2 linked regions of the Rattus norvegicus genome follow. The protein of the gene in region 1 purifies or fractionates together with the protein of each later gene. This does not show direct contact. Links are inferred from orthologs where the notes say so. Each region holds a gene or a part of one and is shown in the gene's direction. Other genes may lie near its edges.

Evidence for each region. Proteins that work in one complex are often made in the same cells at the same time.
Region 2: the proteins of Cdc25a (region 1) and Ccnb1 purify together in Homo sapiens (affinity purification with mass spectrometry; 3 studies listed by BioGRID, with this or other methods). This does not show direct contact. The link is inferred for Rattus norvegicus from reciprocal best matches to the Homo sapiens genes CDC25A and CCNB1.

The regions. Positions count from the first base shown.
Region 1 is NC_086026.1:118,745,489-118,749,764, forward strand, and holds part of Cdc25a (M-phase inducer phosphatase 1), read left to right. Parts: intron 1-26; coding exon 27-69; intron 70-970; coding exon 971-1,007; intron 1,008-1,603; coding exon 1,604-1,705; intron 1,706-3,486; coding exon 3,487-3,606; intron 3,607-4,276. UniProt on the Homo sapiens protein: Tyrosine protein phosphatase which functions as a dosage-dependent inducer of mitotic progression. Directly dephosphorylates CDK1 and stimulates its kinase activity. Also dephosphorylates CDK2 in complex with cyclin-E, in vitro.
Region 2 is NC_086020.1:33,648,748-33,652,760, reverse strand, and holds part of Ccnb1 (G2/mitotic-specific cyclin-B1), read left to right. Parts: intron 1-879; coding exon 880-1,062; intron 1,063-2,812; coding exon 2,813-2,971; intron 2,972-3,154; coding exon 3,155-3,391; intron 3,392-3,625; coding exon 3,626-3,766; intron 3,767-4,013. UniProt on the Homo sapiens protein: Essential for the control of the cell cycle at the G2/M (mitosis) transition.

The DNA.
Region 1 (4,276 bases):
AAGAATTTTGTTTTTATTTCTCAAAGGTTTCTGTCTAGATTCTCCTGGGCCCTTGGACAGTAAAGAAAAGTATGTATTCACTACTTTAAATTTTTCTACTTAGTAGGAAAGTTTTCCTTACGTCAGCCTAGTGGCACAGGCCTGTAGTCTCAGCTACTCAGGAAGTCAAGGCAAAAGGATCAAAAACTCAAGGCCTGTCTTGGCAATTTAGTAAAACCCTGTCTCAAAATAAAAAGTGCAAACTTGGCAATAGAGCGCTTGTGTGGTGTGTGAGGCCCTAGACAGGGTGAATCCCTAGAACCTCAAAAGAAAAGACAAGAGAAACTTGAGGGTTGGTTTTTGATTGGAATCTTATTACAAAGCCCTGGCTTGCATGGAACTAGAAGTCTGCCCGCCTCCTGGTGCTGGGTTAACGGTATGTGTTATCACTCATGGTCAAAACTTGACTTTTGAATGAAGTTCTTCACAGTGGACTAGAGCTCTGCAGTTAGCTGTTTGTAGTGAATTGTTGGGTGCTGGAAACACTGCTGGCAATGAATGTTGCTTCAGGTCAGCAGTTGGCAGGATTTCCCCTCCTGTGGTTTAGCTGTCATTTCCCCAGCTCTACTTTTTGACACTTAAATGAATGGATGTGTGTATTTTAGGAGACATCACGGGGTTTTTTGGTTTTGTTTTATTTTTGTTTTATTTTCAATGGAGGGTGCTCCTGAGACCAGGAAACACTATTCTTGCCTATGCTACAATGAGAACCTGACATGCCTCTCCTCCCCCTACTATAGGTTGAGCAGTATGAATCTGCTCATATAAAATATCTCTTGGGGTTGGGGATTTAGCTCAGTGGTAGAGCGCTTGCCTAGGAAGCGCAAGGCCCTGGGTTCGGTCCCCAGCTCCGAAAAAAAGAACCAAAAAAAATAAATAAATAAAATATCTCTTTATTCTTATATTTATTTACCTTTTGATCTCATTACAGCCTTGAAATTTCCCTGAGGAGAATAAATTGCCTACCTGTAAGTTCCTTTGTTGTTTTGAGCTAATACTAATACCTGTAAACTGCTCCATCAAACACCAGCTTCCCTACGTTTAGGAAATGGACCTTGCTTTTCTACATTCCTGTAAACACACAGGCAGTAAGGCATTACCTAGAGGAACTGTGACTGCCTCTTGTGGACTTCGTACTCAATCTTAGTTTTATCAAACCAGGAAATGTTCTTTTCATGCAAATGTTACTAGGGGGTTGGTATGGCCCGTATTATTACCTGCCAAGAGGGCTACAGGCCTTGTATGATTAGGTGTAAGGCGATTCCGGATTCTGTAGAGCAGTTGGAGCCCTAGGCACAGTTACTGGTTACCTGCTACAGTATGTGGTGATAAGCTAGTTCTTCCAAACCCCGCTTCATTTCTTTAAGAATTAAGATTTTAGCTGGGTATAATAGGTCAAACCTGTAATCTTAGCTTTTGGGAGGCTGAGGCAGAAAGGTCATCTTGAGTTCAAGGCCAGCCTGGGCTTCAAAGTGAAACCTTATCTCAAAAAAAGGAAAAGGAAAACTAGGTCTCCCATTGTGCTTTTCTCTGTGAACTCAATTTCTCTGTTTTACTTTGGCAGCAGAAGCTCTTGGGGTGTAGCCCAGCGCTAAAGAGGAGCCATTCTGATTCTCTAGACCACGACATCTTTCAACTCATTGACCAGGATGAAAATAAAGAAAATGTAAGTGTGGCATCAACATGGCTGGAACCATAACCCAGGCTGGAAGTGAAAGCTAAGTGTCAGCAGTTTACAGGTGACATGGCTGGGCTACTGTCTCCATGACTAAGTCACAGACAGACCACACCTGGCCTTTCAGTAGAGAAATCTGAATTTGTATCTTCTACCTCGTTTTGTGGTGCTGGAATTTTGTTAGGCTCCTTTGTGGGTTTCTTGTTATTTTGGTTGTTGGATTTTTTTTGTAAGGTAGCAATATTTATTCTGGCTGTTTTAGAAATTAAATAAGATTATATATGTAGAAAATTTAGGACAGTACCTGATATAAATGTTGTTGGATTTTAGTAAGTAGCTTTTGTGAGGAGTAATTACATCCATGAGTTGTTTTATCTAGAAGAGTCTACTGAAGATTTTCCTTTCTTGGCTACAATCCTAGGGCAACTCTAAGCTCATGAAAATCTTATTACTTGTGTTTGGAAGATGTATGTCATTGGACCCATCTGCCACATTTATAAACACTGCAGTGATAAGCTAAAATCCAAAGCCATTCAGTTCTGTGGGATCAGAGGATAGGACATGGTTTATCCAGAAGTCCATGTGTGCCCTGCTTGGCTTTCTCTTAAATCCTACAGAGCGTCTTGTCTAAAATAGTTAGGCAGACTGATTGGCTCCGCTCTCGTTCACTCTTTCCATATATTTATTGTTTCCCATTTCCTGCTAAAATACCAGTTGATAGCCCTTACAATCTCTAAGTTAATACAAACCAATGTCCTGTGTGAAAGCAGATTTTGTTTGGCAACTTTGGGAGATGTCATGAGGCATTCTGTGCAAATGGATTCCCTCCCTGTGTGCTTGGAGCAGTTTGTCAGCCTCTCCAGTATGACGGAACCAAAACTCTATGTCTGGCTCTTGACTTCTCCCAAGGGTGCCTTCCCGGAAGCTTTGCTCTAAAGGAATAATAGCATAGATAAAATAACTTTCTGGGGTTTACCTACCTGGCTTCAAGACCTTAGGCACGCCATTAACCTGTAGATGTAGTTTTCTTACTTGTAAAATGGGAACAATCAGATTGTATTTGATGATTAAATTAGCTTATGCTCAGAGAGTACTTAATAATACAATCTCTTATTGGCAGTTAACTGTTTTTAGTACTTAACAACAAGTGTGCTTGTATAACTTTTAAAGATAGTCATGCATTCTTCTGCATATGGCTGTTTTGGTTTGGTGTATGTCTGTGTACCGTATGCCTGGTGCCTAAAGAGGGTGTCAGATCTCCTGAAACAAATTACTGATGGTTGTAAGCCAGCCTGTGGGTACTAAGAACCAAATCTGGGTCTTTTAGAAGAACTGCTGTCTAGATGGTGGTGGCAGCACACATCTTTACTCCTAGCACCTGGGAGACAGGCAGGTAGACAAGGACCGCATGGTGTACAGACTGAGGTCCAGGACAGGACAGTCATGACTATGGGGAGAAACCCTGTCTCAGAATACTCACCACCACTACCATCACAGTCACCACAGAGGAACTCTGCTCTTTACTGCTAAGGTGTCTCTAGCCTCAACAAGTTTTCATTAGGTTTATTTAGTGAAAGAGAAAGCCTGCAGGTGGGAGTGTGCCACAGTGTGTATGTGGAAGCCAAGTCAGCTTTCCGATGTGTTCTTTCCACTGTGTGGGCTTGGGGATGGAATTCAGCCTTCTCAGCAAGTATATTTACCTGCCAAGCCACCTCACCAGCCCTAGAGTTCATTTTATGGACAGTAGATATTTCAAATTTATTGTTTTGCAGGAAGCATTTGAATTTAAAAAGCCAATAAGACCTGCATCTCGTGGCTGCCTGAATGCTCACGTTCACGAGGAAAGTAAGGACCCCTTTACACACAGGCAGAATTCAGCCCCAGCTCGGATGGTACGTGTTTTGGCTTTTCCACTGGGAGTTCATCATGGGAAGAGAATTTACAACATGTGTGTGTTGTATGAGCATGAAACTTATTCATGCTGAGTCTATGGTATATGCCTACAACCCAAGCATTTGGAAGATAGAGGGAGGAGGACCAGGAGTTCAGGTTATGCTCAGCTCTGCCATGATTTAAGGCCATCCTGGGCTACATGAAATCCTGTTCCAAAAACAAAAAAACAAGTTTACTGTTATTACTTGGTGGCTCATGTCTGTAAAACGTTTGGGAGGCCTGTGAATTAGCTGGGGTTATTTGGCAGGTTAGAAAGTTGCATTAGAGAAGTTGATGATGCATTTGTCAAAGGACATGTAAAAGCAGGCTGGAATTTAACTATAGGTTGCTCAGTACATGATAACAGTTTGAAATATATATATATGAAACAATATTTTTGGTAGATATTTGGGGATCAGAATGCTAAGATTTTCTGTAACTGCTTGATCATTAAAGCACCTCTAACTATAGGTGCCGAGGGTGCAGACTTTAAAAGCCTGTGGCTTATCTTACTGGTTTGGCTTTTGTTTGGATTGGGTGTTCTGTTACTTGCTTTTTTGAGACAGGATCTCTTAGATATCTCTAAGCTAGCCTCAGATTTGCTATGTAGTCAAAGCTAGTCTTGAACTC
Region 2 (4,013 bases), on another chromosome or scaffold:
TCCCCAACCCCTTAGAAGACAGCTTTTGAGTCAGTTCTTCCACCATGTGGATCTCCTGGGGGTTGAACTCAGTTGTTAGGCTTAGCAACAGGTACCTTTACCCGTCTTGCCAGCCCACTTCTTCGTACTTTAAACTACCTGAATCTAAATTGGGGCTTATTTTTTTATGAGACCAGATCTTGCTGGCTTGCAGTTTGCTATGGAGACCAGGCTGGCTTCAACTCAGAGACCTGCCTTCCAGGTGCTGGGATCAAAGCTTATATTAACCATGCCTGGCTCTGATTGTTAGAACTGTTTTCTGATTGTTAGAATTGTTTGTTTTTTTTAAAGATTTATGTATGTGAGTACACTGCAGCTGTCTTCAAACACACCAGAAGAGGACATTGAATCCCGTTACAGACGGTTGTGAGCCACCATGTGGTTGCTGGGAATTGAACTCAGGACCTCTGGAAGAGCAATCAGTGCTCTTAACCTCTGAGGCATCTCTCCAGCCTGCCATTTTTTGTTTGTTTGTTTTGTTTTGTTTTGTTTTGTTCTATGGTTTGTTTTTTTCTTCATGAGTGAGATATCAGTTTGCAATGAGTGCAGGGCCCAGGGAGATCTGAAGAGGTCGTCAGATATCCTGGAACTAAGGTTGAGTCACCTGGTTTTTTAATAGAAAACCAGCCCTTGGCAAAAGCAGCAAATGTTCTTTATAGCTAAAACCATCACTCCAGCCCAGTATGAATCATTTCCCAAAAAGAAATTGGGGGAAAGAATCTGAAATACCTTTCGTTTAATAAAATGAATTACATTTATTTAGAATGACTTACTGAATTGGGGATGATGACTTTACGCTCCCATGATGTAGCATGTTTCATGAAGTCTCTTTTCTTCAAGGTTGATACTCCCTCTCCAAGCCCAATGGAAACATCTGGATGTGCACCTGCCGAAGAATATCTGTGTCAGGCTTTCTCCGATGTGATTCTTGCAGTGAGTGATGTAGATGCAGACGATGGTGGTGATCCAAACCTCTGTAGTGAATATGTGAAAGATATCTATGCTTACCTCAGACAACTGGAGGTCAGTATTGTCATTAGCGTCTGCCTTTACTAACTGCAGCTACCCTAAGCCCTTACTCTTGCTATTTAAGATCCTCCTGGATCAGTATTCCTGGTGCTGGAATTAAAGGGAGATGCTGCACTATACCTGGTTTATCCCTTTATGTTATTTACTAACTAATTTAAAGGCTAGCCTGGAACTCACAGAGATCCTTCTGCCTCACTGGTGCTGGGATTAAAGTTCTGTGACATTCAATTCAGCTGTCAAAGAAATTTTTACTAACAGCGCACCTGACAATTTTTGACAATGAATACTATTTGTTACACTCAGAGCACTGTTGTTAGTTTTGAAACACTAAAAATAAAGTCACTAACCCCGTGAAGTGGACTTGCCACTTTGAATATAAAATGTCAGTGTTGGGAGATACCTTCCTAAAATAGACATACCATAGAGAGGGGGAAGTCCTACATGTGTGTGGTTCGAGAACGGGTTGGATGGTGCTAACAGACACTCGCTGTCCCACACAAGGCATTTTGTATCAGTGTGCGCTCGATTCTCTATCCAAGGTGGAAGTTGTTGGTCCCATCACCTCCACCTACTTGGAAAACTTTCTATCAATGGGACTTGCCCTTTTATCTTTTAAACAAGACATTCTATATAGTTCATGCAGTTTGATCAGGTTTAGACCCTCCCTGTCCCCCCAGTCCTAGGGACAGTCCTTGTGCGTGCTAATCAAGTACTTTGCCACTCAACTATATCCTAGCATTGTCTTCTCAGGTTGTCATTAGTTTTTTGGGTTTTTTGTTTGTTTGTTTGTTTGTTTTTTTATTTTTTAGTCTCTTTTGTAATAGTGTTTCCAAGTGTTGTTGTATGGGTGGGCACATAGAGGGGGTCAAATGACAACTTCCAGGGGTTGATTGATTGCCTTGTGAAGTGGCAGCAGTACATGCCTTTAATCCCATCACTGAGGAGGCAAAGGGAGGAGGCTAGCCTGATCTACATAGTTCCAAAACAGCCAGGGCTACACAAAGAAACACTGTCTTGAGAAACAAAAAGACAAAAGAATTGGTTCTCCTTCTGCCTTTATGTGGGTCCTGGAGTGAATTAAAATTCAATTTAAGGGCTGGAGAGATGGCTCAGTGGTTAAGAGCACTGACTGCTCTTCCAGAGGTCCTGAGTTCAAATCCCAGCAACCACATGGTGGCTCACAACCATCTGTAATGAGATCTGATGCCCTCTTCTGGTGTGTCTGAAGACAGCTACAGTGTACTCATATGCATAAAATAAATAAATCTTTAAAAAAAAAAATTCAATTTAAGTCAGCAGGCCTTTCCCCATGAAGCCATTTTGCTGACACCCATTCTTTGTAGCTAGTGTCTGTATTTTCTAAAGTAATGTTTAGTAAGATTCCTGGTTCCAAACTAGCTGTCTTCCTTTTTCCTTGTTAATACTTTTTTTTGTTGTGTTCTAACACTGCAGAACTGGGTTTCGTATTTGCGCTATGTTGGGTGTTTTGAGTGTATAACTTAGATCAGCTTTCCAGCAGAGTGAAAAGATCTGAGATGAGGATGGGTACAGGGTATAAGCTGCAGTCATTCTGGTTAACCGAATATCAACAATATGAAGAACCTGTTATGACTAACCTAAACCTTGCTTTCTTGGTGAACTTCTGTCCCAAGAGCTACTTGTTTTGTGTTAGTTGACTGGCCTTTGTGGACACAAACGTTATATGGCAGGATTGTTCTAGAATAACTGGCATTTTCTTTTACAGGAAGAGCAGTCAGTTAGACCAAAATACCTACTGGGTCGTGAAGTCACTGGAAACATGAGAGCCATCCTAATCGACTGGCTAATACAGGTTCAGATGAAATTTCGGCTGCTGCAGGAGACCATGTACATGACTGTGTCCATTATCGATCGGTTCATGCAGGTATGTGTGCTCCAGCCATTTGCAGTTGGTTCTCCGGTTGTCTTCTCTGAGAGTCTCAGAGGAGGGGGAGCAGGCCCTGAAGGTAGGCAGGAAACTTACCTGCTGAGCCTGAAACACCCTTTTCTTGGGAAGTCAGGTGTATCAGTTGAGAGGTTCGAGGACAGACTGAACTTGCCATTGCAGGACAGTTGTGTGCCCAAGAAGATGCTGCAGCTGGTTGGTGTAACTGCCATGTTTATTGCAAGCAAATACGAGGAGATGTACCCTCCAGAGATCGGTGACTTCGCTTTTGTGACTAACAACACTTACACCAAGCACCAGATCAGACAGATGGAGATGAAGATTCTGAGAGTTCTGAACTTCAGTCTGGGTCGCCCTCTGCCTCTGCACTTCCTCCGTAGAGCATCTAAAATTGGAGAGGTACAGACTTCTGGAGGAATTTTTTTCTTTTCTTTTTTTGTTTTTTTTTTTTTTTTGTTGTTTTTTGTTTGTTTGTTTGTTTTGTTTTGCCACATGAGAAAATACAGCTGCTAACATTTAAAAATAAGGCTGATGACCTAACTACATATCGTGTGGTTACTTTGAGAGTTTAGTCCCAGGCCTTTGTCAGTTACTGCTAACGGCTTAGAGTGGTGTGTGGGTCGTCTGTTCCAGGTCGATGTGGAGCAGCATACTTTGGCCAAATACCTCATGGAGCTCTCCATGCTGGACTACGACATGGTGCATTTTGCCCCTTCTCAAATTGCAGCTGGGGCTTTTTGCTTAGCCCTGAAAATCCTTGACAACGGTGAATGGGTAAGCTGTCTCACCAAACTACCAAGCATTCGAATAAATTACTTGGTGTTAAGACCACTCTCCTGGTTCCTACCTAATATGGAAGGAATGTGAACATAAATGGTAACCCAAACATGCTGCCATCTTAGATTGGCTCCCCTTCTGTAGCCAACTTAATCTTTATGATAACAACCTTTTGAGGAGGGAAGCCACACCCAAGTGATTTAAGAAACTTAGCCACATCCTTGGAGATGCATTTCTCATGTAC